Linked DNA regions of Lytechinus pictus. The protein of the gene in region 3 purifies or fractionates together with the protein of the main gene of each other region. This does not show direct contact. Links are inferred from orthologs where the notes say so. Each region holds a gene or a part of one and is shown on either strand. Other genes may lie near its edges. The genes, in order: PSME3-interacting protein-like, importin subunit beta-1-like and proteasome activator complex subunit 3-like.

Region 1 (7,120 bases), on a different chromosome or scaffold from region 3:
GTATGAATGCATCTCAATTGAAATACATGGTAGTATTTCCTTAAATCTGACGTGAGACGGTTCCAATCTATTATACAAGTGACGATATCTGCAGTTATTGTTTAATTATGGCTATTATGTAAAAATATAGGTGTCCGCTATCACAAACATCAAATATTGAAGGTTTATTAATCTCTGCTTGTTATGGTGCATAAGTATTCTAGGTTTGGTAGTGACTGAAATTGTCAAGTGCATCTCATTCGAAGCGAATTTAAATCATTTTAAAAATGTTACTATCGCTGTTGAAGTCGTTACAAGACTATCGATAATAGATAAACATATCATATTTCATCATGTACTTTGAGATTTATTTGTTAAATGTAATGAATTGTGATTGAATTTGGTCTTAATATCTAATCAGTATGAATCCATCTCCATTGAACTAAATGGTATAGTATTTCACTAAATCTGACCTGAGACGGTTCCAATCTTTTATTTGACAAGTGACGATATCTGCAGTTATTGTTTATCATGGCTATTAATGTAAAAATATAGGTGTCCACTTTCACGAATATCAAATTCGATGTCAAATTTAATTACTTTGAAAGTGTGATAGTCTCTGCGGAAGTAGTTTAGATCATCAGTCAGAAATTATAAATTATATTCCATTAATATATATTTAGTGATTTATTTGCCGTATGTAACGAAATTTTATTGTATTATGTCGAAAACATCTCATCAGTGAAACTAATAAATCTGATTTGTAACCGATTACAACTGTTAGTTGTACAAGTCATTATGTAATAATTTGTCACCCTTTTCACGAACCGTTCCATTAACGAGGACCTGTACCAAATTGAAAACATATGGCTATTCATATTCTCGTTTTTCATGACTGATTTTTGTTCCTTTTGAATACTAATATAAGAGAACGATCGAGACAATTAAAGACTGAAGTTTCTTTTCTTGAGATAAAATATTTCGACATCTAGTTCTGAATATATAAAGATATATTCATATTAAAATGATTAATTTTTTTTATTTTCAAATTGATTTTGACCTCTTGGGACGGATCGTGATACGATGACCAATTAAATTAATGTAGAGACTTATGTGGTCTTTATTTTGATCGATATTTGGTATTTTGGCATTGTTACCTTGTGTTCAAAGGGTTCCCTTAGTTTAGTTACATAAAAATCATGGTTGAGATACTCAATATTTTGAGTGCTCTTTGAAATTCCGTTATGAAATTTCATAATTCATCTCCGATGAATCACCACCGGTACTATCAACATCATCATTGTCATCCTCATCATCATCACCATCATCACCATCATCATCATCATCATCATCAACATCATCACCATCACCACCATCAATATCACCTTCTATACCTACATCTACTCCATGTTAATCCTATAATAGTTTTTCAAAATTTCACTCTCTGTTCATCTCATCACATTTACCACCAACATCATGAACATCATACAAATTTGATACAGAAAATTTATATACAAATCAATTATATTTATAATCTTGAATTATTGGTAATATCACAATTTACTCTTTAATAGTGACATGGATATTTTTTATATTTTCAATACAAACAATACATCATCTGATAACAACTATTACTCAACTGAAGAATTTACGTCTAAATTCAAAGACATGGAACATAATTTCAGTTTACTTCACATAAATTCTCGAAGTTTGAACAAAAATTTTGAATCAATTGAATCATTACTTCTTACTCTAAATAATTTCAAATTTTCTATTATTGGTGTCACGGAAACCTGGCTTCACAATACTTCACCAAACATTTTCAATTTGCAAAACTATAATCTTGTTAGGCGAGATCGTGAAGAACAAAGAGGAGGAGGTTTAGCATTTTACATCAGTGACCATTTGCAGACCAAAATAAGAAAAGAAATATCATTAAAACAAAGTGAATCTTTATTCTTAGAAGTCATGAATCCTAAAGGTAAAAATGCAATTATTGGGTTAATTTACAGACCCCCTCATGGTAGAGTAAATTTATTTTGTGAAGACCTCGAAACATGTCTCCATACTATCACAGAAGAAGAGAAACAAATATTCTTAATGGGTGATTTCAATACTGACCTATTATCTCAAACTAATGAACATGATATATTCCTACACACCATGCATTCATTTTGATATTATCCCCATATAGATAAACCGACCAGAATTGACAGTCATTCCTCAACACTTATCGACAACATTTTTTCAAACATATTAAACAGAAATACTACCAGTGGATTAATAATATCTAACATATCTGATCATTTACCGGTCTTTCTATTATGCGAAAACGATATTGTAAAAGATAATACACCGAATTTGATAATGAACAGTGCGTCCCACAAAAAACGAAACCGAGATTTATCGATGGTTTATCATAACTTAATCACAAATACAATAGACAAATGACCTACCATTTTAAAGCTTAGAATCTCCTCTTTCATCTGAAATTACTAAGATTATTTCTCATTCACGCATGAGTGAGCAAAAACAATTTGAAGAGGGGGTACCAAAAAGTCACTTGGCGGGCTGTATCTGGGTTTCAAAAAAAAATTCAATATCTGCTTTTTAATTTGATACCTCAATTACAGAAAATGGTCAAGAAATAACGAAGTTCTGCTTATTTGAAATAAAGCTTGAATTTTAATAATTTCATAAAATGAAGAGGTTTTACAGGCTAGCGTTCCGAGTCACTCGACACTCCGTTTAAATGAAGCTCTCCCAAAATCTGAAATTGGGGTTTCAAATTCCCCACTTGAGCTCCCATTGAGCCATTGACACAACACGCAGGGCAATGGGGTTCCTGTGTTATAAGCTGGTGGGGTATTTTTTTATCACAGGAATCTCGTAATGCATCCGATTTTGATGAAATTTTCAGTGTTATGTTTGTTGGATTTTTCTATATTTGTTCAAATCAACTTTTTGTTGGGATGGACTTGTCCTTTAACATGAATAGAGTGTCCATTTTTTAGGTCTAAAATCTGAATGTTCTTTCGCTTGCGCTTCGCGCTCGCATAGTTACATACACCTATCCCTTTCATGATTACAAAAAAAGTGCTTAGAATGACCAATTTTTTAGGTCGGAATGTAAAAAAAAATTCAGCTCGCATCATTTGTTGAAATGTAACGTCTTCACAGGTCCCTTTCGATCAGGCCAGAACGTTTATTAAAAATTTCTGCTCGCGCTTGGCGTTCGCAGTAATTATCTAGTTACATACGCCTCTTGTTCAGGATCACAGACATAGAATGTTAAATCAACAGGACAAAATACATGAAAGTAAAAAAAATCATAGCTCTACGCCATGGTGCATTGAAGGGAAAACACAGGAAAGAAAGTTTTGGGAAGATACGCATGGACGTACGACAGAGAGGGGGGAAATATAGAGAAAGGACTTAAGATGGAAAGAGCTAAACACAACTTAAGAGAGATCGAAAGAGAGACAGGTGGAGAAGAGAGAGAGAAGGGGGGAAGGGGAACACTCACATGTTCACTGTCGAATGCCGGCAATTAAGCTGAAAATGATTGACGAAAGATGAAATAGTTGAAAAGGAAAACATTGAATTTCTTCTTCCACAACCAAATATGCCGAAAGTGAAAGATGCCTTTATATGGCTTGAAATAAAATGCATTTATTTATTTATCTATTTATGTATGTATGCATTTATTTATTTATTCATTAATTTACTTGCTTACTTATTTATTTACTTTATAATTTACTTATTTATTTACTTCTTTATTATTTATTTATTTATTTATCTATTTATTTATTTATTTATGAAAATAATGCGATAGTTTGAATAGGGCAGAAAAAATAATTTAAGTCAGTTTTACTGGGGATTGAATATCTACTCTGAATTATTATCAATCTACAGTGGCGGATCTACGGAGGGGGTAGGACGCTTTACCTCGCAGCTCAAACCAACTTGTCAAACCCCCTCTTAGCAATTAAAAGCTAGATCCGATCCGCCACTGATGTGCCTTATAAATAAATTTTACAGAGTAAGATGTTTTTCTTTTCAAATTGGAGGTTTAGTTACACAGTACTAGAGCTCGTTCGTCATCGATCGATATGCGATCTTATGAAGACCAATCAGAGGCTAATCAAAGTTCTAACGAAAGAAGAAGACTGAGAATGAGGGGAATAGAAAATATAATTACATTTAGGATCAATTCAAAGTGAACGTCTTGGTAAGTGTTCAGGAAGCCATGGTTCATCAACTTCTGCGCTCCGGACGCCATACACTCGGCGCATAATCATGATAATGCTCCCCGTAATGCCCGAGGCCCGAAAGATGGAGAATCGAGCCCGAGGACTCCGCCTCCGGAGGCCGGCGAGCGCGAGCCGCGAGGAGCTCCACCGGATTCGCCTTATTCTTCGGCGGATCAGAGCTCGCAGATAGCCTTGCTTCTTGTCTTGATTCATGCCATGGCATGGCTAGCCAGGCGGCTTCTTGAGAGTAAAAACCATTTACTAACGTAGGCTCACTCTAAATGAAGCCAGGCAGTCCTCCCTATTCATGATCTGCGTGTACCGCAAAAAACCCTGAAACTTTCGCCCCCGAGATTTCTACTTTCCTTCTAAAAGTAAAAGATCTAGCTCTAAATCATGTACATGGGATAAAACTTCATTTCCGACATTTCTACGCTCTCGTTGTTATTTTTAAAACAAGAATTCATCAAAAAAATGAAAAAATATTGTGAAAAGACGGAAGAGACTTGCCCGATGTTTACGCCGCCATCTTGTTTCTTATTTGTACTTCCCCAACGTTACGGACGCGAGCAAATGTAATTTAGGGTCAATAAACGTAGTATATTATTATTATATAAATGCACTAGTGCACGCAACAGATGTCGACTTTTTCCATGAGCCATTGCGAATTTCAGCCTGTCCGCTGCAACCGATAGGTGGCGTACCTTAATGTCAATACACCAAATTCAACCACACTAGAGTTTTCAGCACACTAATATCTTATCATTCTTTTTGACTCCAGCATGTGTACACTACCGAAACCCATAAACAGCATAAAAAACAAACATTAAGATCTAGAATCTTAATCTTCTTTTTTTGCTTAGTATTTGAGTTTTGAGTTGAAATAGTACAGTGTAATTGAGCAGATAGCCAACTGTCTCTAAGTGACAGAGTGGATTTGAAGAGAAGAAAACTGGGGTTGATAGACTATACAGGCTTATTACCTAGTAATTTTTTTTCAAAATTGAGTGAAAAAGAACGATTCAAGAGATCTTGATTATCAAGGTAAAATGAATTAACAACTGATTCCCTTAAATTGCCTTGTTATTTCTTTTATCTTTTCAGATAATGGCAAGTTCAAATGTCAAAACATTTGTTTCTGAGAAGGAGCTGTCTGAGCAGCGACAACGTCGACAAGAAGAGTGGGATAAAGTTCGTACTGCAGACCAACCAGAAGGTTTGAATCATTTTTTGACATTTCCAATTATCTTACATGTACAGGTATATTGTTCTGGCTTATTTCTTCTTTTTTTTTTGGGGGGGGCAGATGGTGCACTTGCACCCACCAATTTAGAAAGTTTTATTTTGTAATATACTTTCTTTTTCATTCATAATTTTATAAAACCTGTATATCTTTTTATCTTTCTAAAAACAGACCTTAATGTCCATCTAATAAAGTGACAATGTGGATTTGACGATTTCAGACATCTATACTAGGCTATTCATTGAAATCAAGTAATGTCATTTTATTGACAGATTTTGACAGAGAAGATAGAGTCAGTGGTCCGAAAAAATATATTGCGTGTTGATAAGAATCAATAAGATTTTGCCACATCATAGAATTTTTCCTTCTTGTATCTTTTCATAGAGTGTCCAGAAGAGGAGTATGACCCTCGCTCGCTTTTTGAAAAACTCCAAGAGCAGAAAGACAAGAAGCAGTCAGAATATGATGAGCAGTTCAAATTTAGTAAGTATTGACAATTCATTGCATTTTTATAGGTCATCCACTGCATAGTTAATGATTTACTGTGGAATTTATTCTGGATAAATTAACATATTTCTTCGTTATTGAATGCTAACGATGAAGACAATGTTGAATGATCTTTGTAGGTTTGCATGGTGGAGTTTATATTGTGGAGAAGGTTTACGGTTCACCATGTGTAATATGAAGAAGGGAAAGGAAGTACAGGTAGAAAAATTGAAATGGAAAGACAAGAAAGGATGAAGAGAAGAAATTAGAAGTATTCTTTTTCTTGAAAGTGAGTGAAGTCCTGAAAAGGACTGTAAACCAGATGAGATGAGCTGAATATGGCTTGAGTAGCGATGGTTTGAGTTGTAGCAGGATGAAGTGAAAAGAGGTTACTCGGCGTTTCGGGCAGGTTGACTGTCTTCTAATTTCCTCTTTTCATCCTTTCTCGTCTTTCCATTTCAATTTTTCTGCTTGTACTTCCTTTCCCTTCTTCATATTACACATGGTGAACCATAAACCGAATTGTAGGCATAAGGCAGATAAGAGTGACAGGGATATGATAAGATATATTTATGTATCAAGATTGAAGGTCACAAGCTACATTATCATTGACATATTGATTTGGATATACTGGATGAAATTTTTAGTTGGAAAGTCGATTATATAAATGAATGATTCATCCTCACAATCCATAAACATGATCAAGCCACATCAAACTAAAATACGGGATAGTTTATCAGATGACTTCGGCAATGGTATTTTATCTTACGATTCAGTCGTTTCATTTCGGAACCTGCGTACCCGGATGTTGCAAAATTGGTCTGAAAAGTTGCTTGATACTTGAATAAAAAAACTCCTAAAATGACACGGCACAAACATTTCATTTTACAGATTTATCACAAACAATATTGAGGGGGATGTTTCAACCCCCTCCCCCTGCCCCAGTCTTTTTAGGGTTAGAGGAGTCAAGTTGCATGAATGTACTTTTTTAATAATTAACTTAAAGGTCAAGTCCACCTCAGAAAAAAGTTGTTTTGAATCAACAGAGAAAAATCAGACAAGCATAATGCTGAAAATTTCATCAAAATCGGATGTAAAATAAGGAAGTTATGACATTTTGAAATTTTGCTTATTAGAGCGAGTCAAGTTGCATGAATGT
Region 2 (7,559 bases), on a different chromosome or scaffold from region 3:
TGTTGTTATTAATTAATAAAGTAATAGGGAGACCGTGCGGACGTCAAATGCAATTTGCATTCCGCCTTTGCCTAATTGCCTTGGCTGCCTTTTGTTACATGCCGCACAGACCTTCCAGCAAGCAGCACATAAAAATACGACATGTCTCATGATTTTGCCATCACAAATAAAAATATTCAATATACCGTAGATCTATATCAAACTAAGCCAACAACCATGACAACATCATCATCAAATATATATATTCTCAAGCTAATCAATGTTGAAATATCAAGAGATCGTGGTGTTTTATTATGTTTTTGTCAGGACCCCTCACCTGTTTGAACACTGGTTTGTCAGCGCGAGTGCTAACATGCAAGTTCGTGTGGGTCGCACAAATGGTCAGAGATTTTGGAGCAAAAGTCAACTTTGAAGCATTTTGTGGTCACGTACCCAACCTGCACGAGGATTCAAAGTTCATCGCAGGTGTCGCTGTGCGTAATGCTATAGAGTTTCAATGTAATTTTACATGTACTTTGTGAATGAACGTGAGTGTATTGCTTACACACATTCAGGTGGATAATTTGCATATATGTAAACTTAGTGACTCATCGATCATGGTGTAATCATTCAACCGTGTGTGCGGGTGTATTTTGATCTATTTATCATCCCCTGTTTTACATCAATTTTGGAATTATCTTTGGTCGATATATCAAAGTCTCACGGCAGCAATCATAATCAACCAAACAACAATGTCAGTGGAAGAAGTAAGTCGGTACATAAAAAATATTTCATCAAGATGCAACGCAGTGTTTCATGGTACTTTTGTTGAAGTCGGAGGAGACGTAGACGGGAGAGCTTCAGGCAACCGTGAATACAATGGGAGGCTGGTGTGAATTTTCTAGCCGGCCAGACTTTGATATATCGACCGATGAAAGTTTACACCTATTAAGAGAGAGTTTTAATAAATGACCTGTAAATGGTGTCATAATTCATATATTGGTAACATGAAAAGAAAGGTTAAGAAAATGTGTAGTAATGGAAGAGGATGCGAGAGCATAAAGGAGTACAAAGTTAGTGCAGTGGTTGAACTGGGTCCATATTGTAGTGAGATTGGTGTAACTGTTGGAGATGTGCAATTGGCAATGTGTTGTGAGAGTGATTGGTAGAAGCTTGGTTGGGAGTGTCTGACGAATGGAATAGCAAATGTATTATATAATTGGGCAAAGAGCCAGGAAATGTGTACGAAGCAATTTACACTGTTAACTGAGCTACTTGTTTATATTGATGATAATGTAAGTGCTCAACATATCTACAAAAAAATACAAAATGTTTGACGATCCGCGTTAGCAGGTACAAAGAAGATAAGCTTCATGAATTTATGAGAGAAGTGTTTGTTAGGGAACGGAGTAGGTCAGTAGTAGTACATGTAAGGCAAAAGGGAAGAGTTGTAAATATTGTAGGGTGAGCGTAAAGTAAGTGATCAAAATGTAAATACATGTAATTCTTGCCTGCGACCAAATATGGTCAGCCCCCAAAAGAGGTAAGAGAAATGAAAGTGATGGAAAAGAAGTACGGAAAGATGGAGATGAAGTTAGATTCATGTAGGAAAAGATTAGTAGAGACGATCGTAAAGTTGAGAAATGTTAAAAGAAAAGAATTGAGGAAAGGTGCATCACTAGAAGAAAGAAAGGCGACGGTTGTTCGGATGGATAAGGAACTACAATTAAATAGGATTAGAATAAGTAAACTCGAACGAAAATATGCAAAAATCCGCAAAAAGTTGAAGGAGAAAAGAGGCAAAAGGAGGAAGGATACACTGCTAACTACGAAAAAAAAAATTGATGAGAAAAATAAGATATGACAAGTGAAGATTTTTTTTTAAATCTAGGTTTGATATGTGCATAATTTATTTAATTTTTTTATTCCTTTGTCATGAAACTCCATATCGCTATCCACAGGAAATGCCAGGGTACATTCAGAGTAGGAAAGGCAACCTAAATGGCCCTGGTAATTTCTAATTTTTGTCTCGCCTGCATAGCAGAGTGAGACTATAGGCGCCGCTTTTCCGACGGTGGCGGTGGCAAAGGCGGCGTCGTCAACATTGAAATCTTAACCAAGGTTAAGTTTTTGAAGTTTTGAATTTTGGACATAAGAGAAACCATGTATCCTTGAATATCATGCGCGAGTTTCAGGTCACATGACCGAGGTCAAAGGTCACTTACGGTAAACGAACTTTGGCCATATTGGGGGTATTTGAGGAATTATCTTAACTGAAATTTTATGGATCTAGTTCATGAAACTTGAACATAAGAGCAATCAAGTATCCTTGAACATCCTGTGCTAGTTACAGGTCACACGACCAAGGTCAAAGGTCATTTAGGGTCAACAAACTGGTAATGTTGGGGGTATTTGTGGAATTATCATCATAACTTTAAAAGTCTATGGATTTAGTTCATGAAACTTGGACATAAGAGCAGCATTGTATCCCTGAATACCCTGTGTTTGTTTTAGGAACATGGCCACGATCAAAGGTCATTTAAAGGTCAATGAACTCTGGCCATGTTGGGAGTACATGTATGTGTTGAATTGGCATCATAACTTAGGAAGTTAATGGTACTTGCACATGAAACATCGACATAAGGGTAATCAAGTATGAATGATTGTTTTGCACATGTCTTAGGCCACATGATCATGGTCAAAGGTCATTTTGGGTCAATGGACATAATATTTTATTATCTTATTAGTGTTTTCTTCTGTGAATAATTATTATTAATATTAGCTGTTTTTCAAAGGAAGCACTGCTGCTATATCGAATTGCGTAATGCAGGCGAGACTGCCAGAGGCGTTCCACTTGATTTGAAAATGGCCTGGTAATTTTTCTTTTTTTTTCAATGGCAGAAAAATAAAGTAATGTTTAACACTGGTGATAGCGAGCTCATGGCCAGAAATGTGGTTTGCTAACAAGTGTAAATGTATAGATCTAGATCAGACTATTTGTGTCTGTGTGTAGATCGAAGAAAACATAAACAAGCTTTAGTGTTCTTGACGGTACAGTTTAAGGCTTTTTATAATTTCAATATTTTTAAAATACTTTTTCGGGCCACCAAATTTTAATGTTGGGCCACCAAAAAAAACAACTTACGAAAGTATTGGTGGCCCGAATGGGCCACCCCAAAAAAAGTTAATGTGGAGGCTTGCCTAGTAAATATTTTAAAATTGTCCACTGCAAAGTATTGCTCTGACTTCAAATGCTCTAACAATCAAATTGTAGTGGGAAAATAACTAAAATATTCTTAAAGGACAAGTCCACCCCAAAAAATAGTTGATTTGAATAAAAAGAGAAAAATCCACAAGTATAACTCTGAAAATTTCATAAAAATCGAATGTAAAATAAGAAAGTTTTAAAGTTATGCTTAAAGTTATGCTTAATTCCACAAAACAGTTATATGCACATCCTGGTGGGTATGAAAATGATGAGACTGATGACGTCATCCACTCACTATTTCTTTTGTATTTTATGATATGAAATATTCTATTTTTCTCCTCATTGCCAAGTGAAACAACAATTAATTCCTCCCTGAACATGTGGAATGAGCATTGTTTAATACTATATGATTCAGTCAAGTTGGTCCTTATCGTCAAATCTATAAAAAATGAAATATTGTATAATTCAAACAATAAAAAACAAAAGAAATAGTGAGTTAGGGACATCATCGACTGCCTCACTTTAGTTGTGCATATCACTGTTTTTTGAAAAATAAGCAAAAATTTAAAATGTCGTAACTTTCTTATTTTACATCCGATTTTGATAAAATTTTCAGCGTTTTGCTAGTTTAATTTTTCTCTATTTATTCAAATCAACATTTTTCTGGGGTGGACTTGACCTTTAATGAACATTTGTGTGATGTCCCATACACGTATGCACTCATGTGTGGATGTGACTCTGCAAAATTGAGCAGATTTCTGCAAAGCATTGGTCAAACATTTGATGCCCTAACAGAAAAATTATGAAACAAATATTTTGACAGAACATTTTTGTTTGTCCAATACATGCATTAATGTGGAAAATGGTTATTTGATTTGTTTTATCACTTGGATGAAAATCCTACAGCACACTGTACAACAGTTATTAGGTGTATAATAATCAAAATATAAATAATTTATTGGTTGGATTGCTTAACTACATGTAAGCTAGTCGTACAGACTGTTTCACCCTAAGGCTCATCAGAGTCGCTGATGAGCCTTAGGGTGAAACAGTCTGTACGACTAGCTTAGTTAAGCAATCCAACCAATAAATTATTTATACTCAGCTCCTACACAGTCGAGCACTATTAGATATTGCAGTATATCACTATATACTTACCTACCTAATAATCAAAATATACTTTTCATTCACTTTTAGATGTTTTTTTCCCACCATTTATGACATGATCAAATCTTTAAATTATGAAATGTATAAACACTTGTGATTATATTTTCTTATCCAGACACAGCGGAGCTAGAAGCAGCACAGAGGTTTCTAGAACAGAAAGCCAGGGAAAATTTGGTAAGTAACAACTTGGTCATTTTTTTTTTTTTAATTACAAAAACCTAGACTTTTGTAAAACTATGATAATTAGGTACATGTATGTATGAGGGAAAGTAGTACTGTATGGAGGAGAATATTTTAGTTTGCCCTTTTTTTCTCTCTGACGGTTTAGGAAGAGGTTCAATAGTGAATTACATACATGTACATGTACATGTATTTAACTTTTATTCAAATTTGTAGTTATTGTTATATTACTTTTGTTTGATGGATTTTTGACCGCTTTATCAAATTATCAATTTCCCTGAATAATCCCTTTCTATAAAATTCATTTATTCTGTATCAGAAAGGTATTTAATCTTTGTCCCATTTCATGCTGGCTTTTTATCAAAACAATAGTTTATTATTAAAATATGAGTTATGTTAAACCAAACTGACCTTGCCCTAAAATTCACAAAATTTAAGGCCTAGATTATGTAGCCAGCCAGGGCAATGAATTGTATCTGTTTTAACTTGAACTGGCCATGCTGGATACATGCACATTGGTATGATAGTAGCTGGTGTATCCTACCCTCTGCTTGTGTACAAATACAAGCTGCATGTAATTAGGCTTTGTATAATATTCTGTACATGCACTTAAATTTAATTTTTCTGATCTGTAAGGCATTTACATGTAATGATACACAAAACTCACATATTTAAATAATTCAGTGGCTACAATTTTTGTGTCAGTAATAATGTTTTATTTTGCTTGTACAGCCGCTTTTCCTCACTCAACTTTCTGAGATCCTTGCAAATGCCGATAAGGCTCATGTCGCTCGCATTGCAGCGGGTTTACAGCTGAAGAATGCACTTGTATCCAAAGATCCCAATATACGGCTTCAGCTCCAACAAAGATGGTTAGCGCTCTCAGCAGAAGTCAGGAACAATATCAAGAGACAAGTAAATTGATTACATGTTTTTTTTTCATAGTTTTTGTAATAGACTCAAGTGTCAGGCTAAATTATATTCTGATAACTGTCTTTTGATCAAGCTACATGTACCATTAAGGAAATAGGTTAATTTGAACCTGTTCTCATTCTAGCAAACAAGAATGTCAAGTTGAATTTTTTTAAAAGATTTTGGTTGGCTTTGGTAATCAGTAAAGTTTGTTGTGCCAACATGCCTATGATAATATTGCACTCATCTCTTTACAGTTATAATCATTTGTAATTTATTTATTTTCATTTTTACTGTAGTTTATTTGATGGAAGCTTGTGTTAGAATATCCACTGTAGCTGTTTATTAAGGAGAGAGAGGAGAAAAAAACCAGGATTCTATTATCCTTTCCTTGCACTTATGAATGTAATGTAAGTATTAATGATGCAAAGGTGTGAAGAATAGGATGAAATTTGTTGTGGCACTTGCTCTATCCTCAGGCACTTTTTTTTTCTTTTTAAACTAGGTTTTAATGACATTGGGTACAGAGTACCAGGGTCCCAGCTCAGCTGCACAATGTATAGCAGGAATAGCGTGTACCGAGCTTCCTGGTAAGTTATGGCCAGAGCTTTTACCTCAGTTGGTCAGCAATGTCCTCAACACTGCTCAAGGCACTGACCACCTCAAACAGAGTTCCTTAGAGGCTATCGGATACATCTGCCAAGATATCGTGAGTGAAAGCCAATCAGAAAACAAACCTGTTTCAGTTTTGAGTGATTAAGAATATGTTGCGTAGTGTAATACGCTTTTTTAAATTGATGAACATCTGTTCCATTGTCATAAATTTAAAAAAATGAGGAAAAAAATGAAATTATTTTTTATTTACTAATTTTGATAGATACAATATATAATGGGCCAAATACAATCTGTAGAGTTCTCAAGGTGCAACAAAAGAAAGAAGAAGCTGCTACTTTTCTCAATTCTTGTAAGATTTACAAGTAAAATATGTTATTCAGAGAGATATCCATTTGATTTGACATAAGTATTTGGCTTTGAATTTTTATGCTGTAAATACCTTCACGCTAATACTCCCAGGGTATTTTTATTCTTGTCAGTATGGGGGGCATTACAGGCCCCCTTAAGATCTCTTAAAAGTAAAAAGTCAGCGAGTAAAAAAAAATTGCACCACAAAAATCGGTAGTATTATGGTTAAATTGGAATGAATGAATTTTTGGAATTGAGATATCAGGACATTGTACTGTCAGCAGATTATAAAAGGTTTAATTCAAGTGTTATTTCTTTTGTATAGAGTTTAGCACGTCACATATCCATTCCACAGAGGGGAGACCTTTGAAGGACCTTTGAAAGACCAAAAATTGGCAAGGTCTTACAGCATTCTCCAAGATAACTGAAATTTGTCATCTCTGTGGAATGGCTCAGAAAGACCCTCAAAGAATTCTGAAAGACTGATGGATATTTCTTTTCTTACTAGTCTTAGACTTCAATGGTCTTTCAGAGATCTTTTATGCAACAAGTGATCTTTCAGAATTCTTTCCATGGACTGCCTGGTCTTTCAATGATCTGTCAATGACTTTTCAATGATCTCTCATAAGTCTTACAGTGATCTCCCAAAAAATCTTGAGAGACTGTCGAAAGATCAAGCAAAGACTAATAAGAACCTTGAAAGTTCATAGAAAGACCGCTGAAAGACCATTTTCCAGTAAAGGGGCCATTCCACAGAGAGCAAGACCGCTGAAAGACCTTTCAAAGACCATGAATTTTGGTCGATCTTACAGAGGTCTCTCAATGAACCTACAATGGTCTTTGAGGTCTTACACGAGTCCTGACCAATCTTTCAGCGGTCTTCGTGGTCTTCATGGGCTCCAAAACTTTTTGAAACGGCTCAAAACAGTCTTAGAACAGTCTTAGAGGAAAATGGTCTTTCAGTGGTCTTTCAGCAGTCTTTCAGTGGTCTTTCGATGAACTTTCAAAGGTCTTACTAGTCTTTCAATGATCTTTCGGCGGTCTGTCAAGATTTTTGCGGAGATCACTGTAAGACTCATGAGAGATCATTGAAAGATCATTCAAAGATCATTGAAAGACCAGGCAAAGTCCATGGAAAGAATTCTGAAAG
Region 3 (6,936 bases):
ACTTTCACTAGATTCTCTGACTGATCGGCGATAGAAAAAGGGAGAAAAATGAAAAATTATGATCATTTTTTGCTTGAAGTTCAAACATTATTGCACTGGGGACTGTTTCATAAAGCTGTTCCTAAGTTATGCATCATGAATTATGCACACTTAGGGAGCATTTCATGAAACAAAAGGTCAGTAATTTTTATCATTACATTATACATGTAGGCTACAGAAATACTTGCATCTGATTGGCACATATCTGCTGATCAGTGAAAACTGGTGATATATATAAGATGCTTCATCCCCAGTTCTTGAGATTTAGCAAAGGCAGATTTTCCCTTTCTTAACAAAGTAGGAGCGAATGTGAATTCCCTACTATTTAAAGTTAGATAAATGAAGTTTGCATTCAGATGCTTATTAACAGCAATTTCAATCTGAAAGGGCCACTTGGGTGTTTCATAAAGCTATTCGTAAGCTACAAGCAACTTTATAAACAACTGCTCATCCTTTTTTAGGAGCTTAATCAACACCAATAATAAATTGGTGCACATAAGTATTACTGTACTACAAGAAAGGATCGCCACTCGTTTGTGAAGTGAAGTCACTCATGAGAGCTTTGTGAAATGTTTCAACTTGGTGATTATATGAATAAAACATGATTGAGAATCAATAGTGAATCTAACTTGTTAAACTAAAACAAGCAACTCCAAGGACTAAGTACATGTGTGGACAATGATATGCCATTTAACAAAACAAAATCATCAATAATTAAATACTGGACACTCTTTGACATCGTCTTAGGCCTGATTAGTATCAGAAAGTGTTCAACTAAATCAATCTCTTGCAATGCAAATTTACAAAATGTCAGTATACAATAATTAAATATCTGAGCATTGAATCAAAAGCTAAAAAAAAATCATATCAGCCCCTATCCTAGCTTTCCTGGCGAGAGAATAGAGAGGTAATTTTCAATTTGTTCAATTCTCTTGCAATCAAGGTTGAGGTTATCAGGCCTTACAAAGTAATGGATCTTTGACGAGACTCTGACTTGATCTTACCATTTCATGTAATTTGTCCTTGCATTCAGTCACCTGGATAAAGAATCAAACAGAAAAAATGAAACTAAAAAAAGGAAAATAAACATTATTATGTAGCTGCCACACGATAGAGTTGGATCTAACGTTAAGCCCGTTTAATCAGATCTAGGTCCTAATTAAGTTTGGCAATTCCCCCTCCAGCTAATCAATGTCTGCATGTCTGTGGCCCCGTAGTCTGTAGACATGCTCTCTCAACAATATCGCCATCAAGACCATCTGACCGTTGTCAATCTACTTTTTGCATTGGAAATACTAACAGAAAAGAACTTGGAATCGCAATTTCACTCGATAGATTTACAGAGAGCTTGATTTTTAGAATGAGAGCACAACACGTTGTTAACCCCCTAATGGTGGCTGCACAATAGCGAGCCGTCGACTGTGTACGAGGAGAAATTTAAAAAAAAAATCAAAAATGTTAAAAAACTCCTCGAAACAGACGGCTGCCAGCCGTCTACCAAAAATGCAGCTTACTGTAGCGGATCAATGCGGCCGGAACGGCGTTACAAAAAATACATTGTATGCGAAACTTTGCATTTGCTTTGGAACAGATTTGTCTCTTCTTTTTTTCTTGATAAGAAGAAAATGCTTTGGCAAGGCCTTGGATCAACTTTCTTTGTTCTTTTTCTCGAATAAAAATGTTGTCTTGCCCTTTGAATAGGGTGTCTGGAGAAAAAAATTATTTTTCTTATTTCAAGAAAATATCACATTTTCTTTGTGAATTTGAAGAGAAATGACCTTCAGACTGACAGAAATGTAACATTTTTGAAAAAAATCAAATTATTGGCTGCAAAAAAGAAGAATGAAATTAGGTCAATTTTCAGCATTTCTCTGCCATAGACTGTGTAGTTAAGAAATGGACACACACAAATCCAAATTTTTAGCTTCCAAGAGCTGTTATAAATTCATTATTAATGCCAAAAACTTGTCCATAAAGAGTCCAATAGGATTTTTTATGCTCTATCTGATGGTATGATTTTTATAAAGATTTGGAAACCAGATCACAATGAAAAATTGCGACAAAGTGAAAAAAATTGTGCAAAACAGAAATTTCATTTCCCCATAGAAAACGCATGGAGAAATGGCAATCTCAACACACACAAAAATAAGGGTTAGCAATTTATCTCTAAATCCTTATTTCAAATGATCACATAAACTTGTCCTTACTGTCAAAAGAAGCCCCTGAATTTTCTCTTTCCATACATGCCAAACACAAGTTAATAATCAATTCAGATCACATTTTTCTAGTAGCCTGAACTTCCCCGAAAAAATGTGCCATATTTTCCCCTAAATTAGCCTGTTTTATGCTGACACTTTTCAGTGTGGCTTCAGACACCCTACTTTGAATGGAAATTTATTAGGAATAGGAGTGTAAAAATGGGGGTCGTCTCCGCGGCACATGCATGTACCCACCACCACGCATTATATGCTGTCTGAGTGCCCCCCCCCCCTCCCGGTTTCTTGCCAGAATCCCAATCCCCACAATTGATTAACACGTCAGAGACCATGGCCTGGCATGGCATGGCATGGAGACGGCCGGTTCAATAATTCAAACTTGACTGATGCATCACTTGCTTCCTTTTGCTAAAGTTGGGCAGTAGACTAGATCTATAACTTAAGCCTATACTGGGCCGCCCCTATACTGTCTAACAGTTAACTTGTTAGATATAGACTAAATAAAATAAAAACGTTGTTGTCGACGTTATGTGGCTCGTTTACCAGAAATACCACGCAGATATGATAGTACGGGACTGTGATGAATAACCTGCATACTCGGTCCTTTAGAATTTTCTTGCCAATTATTTGAATAAAACATGAAAAATTTTATAATTTCAATCTCACCTCATGTACCTCATCAGTAGCCATGGTGATATTTTAATTCTTAGTCCAATATTTGTCAAAATCAAGGGATTTTACGCCAGCAGATGCCTTTCACCGACCATTAAGTATTAACACATGTGTCACGCATGCGCATCCGATATCGCGCTCGAGATTTATCGATAGGGGATCGGAGGGGGGGGGGGGGGGGGGGGTGGGGAGGGCAATTACAGCCGGTGTAGCGGCGGATTTGGTTCCACCGGCGGATACCGTATCCGCCGGCAGATATCGTTCTAAATGGCCGATATCGTTTTTAATGTAAATTGAATTATTATCTGTATAAATCTAATCAACATGAAAATGGTCTATGTTCCCATTGTCAGGTTCCTGAGACAATAGAACATTTTTTACTACAATGTAAGAAAAATGAAAGAGAAAGGAGAATTATGCAAAGAAGCCTGAAATTAAACAAGCCAATATCATATCTAGCAACATTATTGGGAAGAAATGCAGATTATAAAGTTATCCTGAATTACGTGGAAAAAAACAAAGAGATTCGAATAAGAATATTCCACTGATCTCTCTCCATCTCTTTCTCTCTCTCTCTTCCTTTTGTTCTGATGATTAGTGACAATCCTTAGACTACTCAAATTGAGCTTCGACCTAGCTTCTTATATAAGTTTGCATACTATGAAGTACAAAAACGCACAATTTAATGGTGGTGGTAACTAATCATAATTATATTGCACCTCGCTATATGACAGGTCAGACTAGTCTAACGCCGAGGACATTGATGCGGGAATTAAGCAGCTAACTCGGAAACGACCTGGCGCAGATAATCTACCAGATTGAAGAGCGCCAACTTAACTCCAACACCAACCCTAATCGGAACCATATCCGCCAGGTTTAACGCAGCTTGATGTTTGCAGATTTGGTTCCTCGGCAGATTTGGTTCTATTGACTATACGTGTAATATTGACTTGGACAGACAACCTCGGCAGCGCGCACATGCGCGGCTCTGGCAATGTCGATCGCAATGGGGGGGGGGGGGGGGGATTTTCGTCCGCCTTAAGTGAATTTTTATTCAGGGGCGGATCCATACAGCTTTTGACAAAGGGCTCGATGGGGGTGAGGATTAATAGGAGAAATAATGTCTCGATATTTCATGTATTACATAGACCTGGCATGCACATACGCCAAAACTTTGCTATTTATTATTATCAGATTTTGATGAAATTTTCATCATATTTTGTTTTGTGAATTTTTATACTATTTTCAGTCCGCAGTATGCATCGATCTCTTTAACTGTGCCTTTTCACACCATGTTTAGTGTCAGTTTGCCAGACTGTTTGGCGAAAATTTGCACCCCCATATATGCCTATAGGTTTTTGAAACTACAAATGTTAAGAAAAATTTCAACAAGTTAAAACTTCATATTTCAAAATAAATGATGCAAATTAGTGTCTGAAAATACATTTTGCTGTTAACTCATATTATTGCTTGTAGAATGCTTATTTTTGGTGAAAACATAAATTTGACATTTCTAACAAACATCCCCCCAAAAAAGAATGTCAATACATAATTAATTTCTTATGTAGTTTATTGTAGGCCTATTTTTAAATTTCTCATGTATTTTTATAATTTGTTTTTTCATTCTTTTTTTTCTTCAATATATTTGTTAAGGGATCTGAATCAATTAAAGAGGACCGGAAGTTCACTCTGACAAAAGTTAGATACGCCACTTACTGTTTGGTGCTCCGGCCTAATTTACCTCTCATCATCACAGAAATTTTAAGATCAATATGGGATCTTTAGTGAAATATAATTTCTCCTTTATATGTATTTATTTTTAAAGTATGATATGTAATTTGTACAATGTCTCATTTTCATACTTTGTAATGTTTGTATATTCTTGATTTTGCATGTTTTTAATGGAAAATAAATGAATTCAATTCATCTCGGAAAGTGACATCGATGGTTCGCATGGCTTCGTAGTAGTCGTCCTAAGTAATCACGACTGCACGCGCGGGCCTGCTCAGGGAGGGGGAGGGGGTAAGCGCCCCTATATAATTTTTATGATCTCTTGTTTGGTTGTAAGACAATTTTAGCAGGGAATTATATACAGGAAAAATTAGTTGGCAGGAAAATAAAAGAATGCACCCCTCCTGACAATGGGCACCCCAAGGGCAGCATAGGTAATTTTTTTTTTGCTTATCCGATCGCATGCAGGGTTTACGTTTACCAATGTTACATTCCCATTACTTTTTTTTTCAATGAATAAATAAAATTAAATCTTAATATTCCCGTGGTAAGAATTGTATCACTCTCACCACTTATCATACTTTATTGAAGGTCTGTCGACTCGTTTCTGTTTTGTTTTTTTATCTTTACATTTCGCTGTCTTTGCGTTATCAATCATAGCCTACTTTCTAATGTATTCAAGATGGTATCGTCTAAAATATATATAGTCATGGATTTCAAAACCAATTTCGTGAGTGAATGAACAACTGCTCGTATGATATTAATACGTCATCTCATTTTTAACAAGGATTTCGTCATCTATTCTACAAAATGGAAGTTTTCGGGGTTTTTTAATGTATAACTTTCCTGCTTTACTGAGAAGAAGGATAATAAAGCATGCGAAGGTCAACAAGTGCCTCTCGGATGATTCAATATTTACCCCCTGCTATTTGATTTCATAAATATTTTTCAAAGTTGTATGCAGAGATCTGCACTACCATATGACTACGTTACACGATGCTGAGTCATTTCGCGCCAGACGTGTCGGAATGTTTGCTAATACCACGTACTTTGTCCCTGCGGTGATCATTTTCCTCTAGACAAAAGGGTGAAATCAAACAGTGAAACAGCAGTTATAACTGACCAATCACCGTTTATCTTCCAAAGGTGTGGCACATAGAAATCCGGGAAAGGTTGCATATATAGGTTTGAAGAGTTTCCGCAGAAATTATTAAGCGACCACTCAAAGCTATTTAAATGTTGTGGATGTCGATGACTTACCAATGCTGCTAGTCATGGCATCTCATCTGGTTACTGTCCTTTTACTTTTATTCATCATCGACATTCATGTTTCGTTTGCTCAAGTGACAGTGAACGTTGCTGGATTGGGAGAGGTCGAAGGGAACAGTTATGACTTTGACGGCAACGCAATGGAAGAATTCATGGGTGTTCCTTACGCAGAACCCCCAGTGGGAGAATTTCGATTTGCTCGTCCACGACCCAAGCTTCCTTGGGACGGAACACTGGATGCAACGACTTTTGGCGCTGCCTGTCCACAATCACCAGTGGAAGATCTTGATGATCTGTTGATAAGCGAAGACTGTCTCTTCTTGAACATCTTTGTACCACCAGCAGCAACTGAAGATAACAAACTGCCTGTCATGTTGTTCATACCAGGTCGAGGGTACCGAGCTTATTCGGGATCGGAGTACATCGGGAGGGATATGGCCGTCAAAGGTTCCATCATCGTCGTCACCATCAACTACAGATTCCTCACATTCGGCTTCTTCAGCACGGAGGATGACACGGTACCGGGGAACTACGGACTCTGGGATCAAAGATTTGCCATACAGTGGGTGCGGGATAACATCGGAGCTTTCAATGGTGACGGGAGTATGATTACCATTGTTGGCCAAGGGCGTGAGGGAGCTACAGGAGTTGTAGCTCAGATTCTTACTCCTTTAAACGATAATAACCTATTCCAAAGAGCTATTATCCAGAGCAGCACATCAACCGATGCTTCCTATATCAGTTCCGAGGGTCAGGCTAGGAGGTTGTCCAATATCGTCATTAATACCCTGAACTGCACTGAAGGATCATGGACAAAAAATCTAGCTTGTCTTCGGAATAAAACATGGGAAGAAATCGTAGCTGTCGATTACACCGCTCTCGGGGGTGCTTACTTTGAACCACGGATTGATGGGCTCTTCTTTCCACGTACCCTCGATAATCTACAAGATATGGATCTTTTACACCAATATGACATTCTGATGGGAGTCAACAGTGACGAAGGGGCAGC

The links.
Region 1: the proteins of proteasome activator complex subunit 3-like (region 3) and PSME3-interacting protein-like purify together in Homo sapiens (affinity purification with mass spectrometry; 4 studies listed by BioGRID and IntAct, counting the BioPlex papers as one, with this or other methods). This does not show direct contact. The link is inferred for Lytechinus pictus from reciprocal best matches to the Homo sapiens genes PSME3 and PSME3IP1.
Region 2: the proteins of proteasome activator complex subunit 3-like (region 3) and importin subunit beta-1-like purify together in Homo sapiens (affinity purification with mass spectrometry; 3 studies listed by BioGRID and IntAct, with this or other methods). This does not show direct contact. The link is inferred for Lytechinus pictus from reciprocal best matches to the Homo sapiens genes PSME3 and KPNB1.

Annotation. Positions count from the first base shown.
Region 1 is NC_087246.1:47,319,732-47,326,851, forward strand, and holds the start of PSME3-interacting protein-like, read left to right. Parts: upstream 1-4,059; 5' UTR 4,060-4,210; intron 4,211-5,336; 5' UTR 5,337-5,339; coding exon 5,340-5,448; intron 5,449-5,859; coding exon 5,860-5,958; intron 5,959-7,120. UniProt on the Homo sapiens protein: Promotes the association of the proteasome activator complex subunit PSME3 with the 20S proteasome and regulates its activity.
Region 2 is NC_087245.1:3,731,217-3,738,775, reverse strand, and holds the start of importin subunit beta-1-like, read left to right. Parts: upstream 1-4,470; 5' UTR 4,471-4,528; intron 4,529-5,266; 5' UTR 5,267-5,449; intron 5,450-5,951; 5' UTR 5,952-5,957; coding exon 5,958-6,155; intron 6,156-7,559.
Region 3 is NC_087257.1:14,472,504-14,479,439, reverse strand, and holds the start of proteasome activator complex subunit 3-like, read right to left. Parts: upstream 3,087-6,936; 5' UTR 2,946-3,086; coding exon 2,922-2,945; intron 1,077-2,921; coding exon 1,044-1,076; intron 21-1,043; coding exon 1-20. Other genes in the region: uncharacterized protein LOC129275040, read left to right, coding at 5,921-6,936. UniProt on the Homo sapiens protein: Subunit of the 11S REG-gamma (also called PA28-gamma) proteasome regulator, a doughnut-shaped homoheptamer which associates with the proteasome. 11S REG-gamma activates the trypsin-like catalytic subunit of the proteasome but inhibits the chymotrypsin-like and postglutamyl-preferring (PGPH) subunits.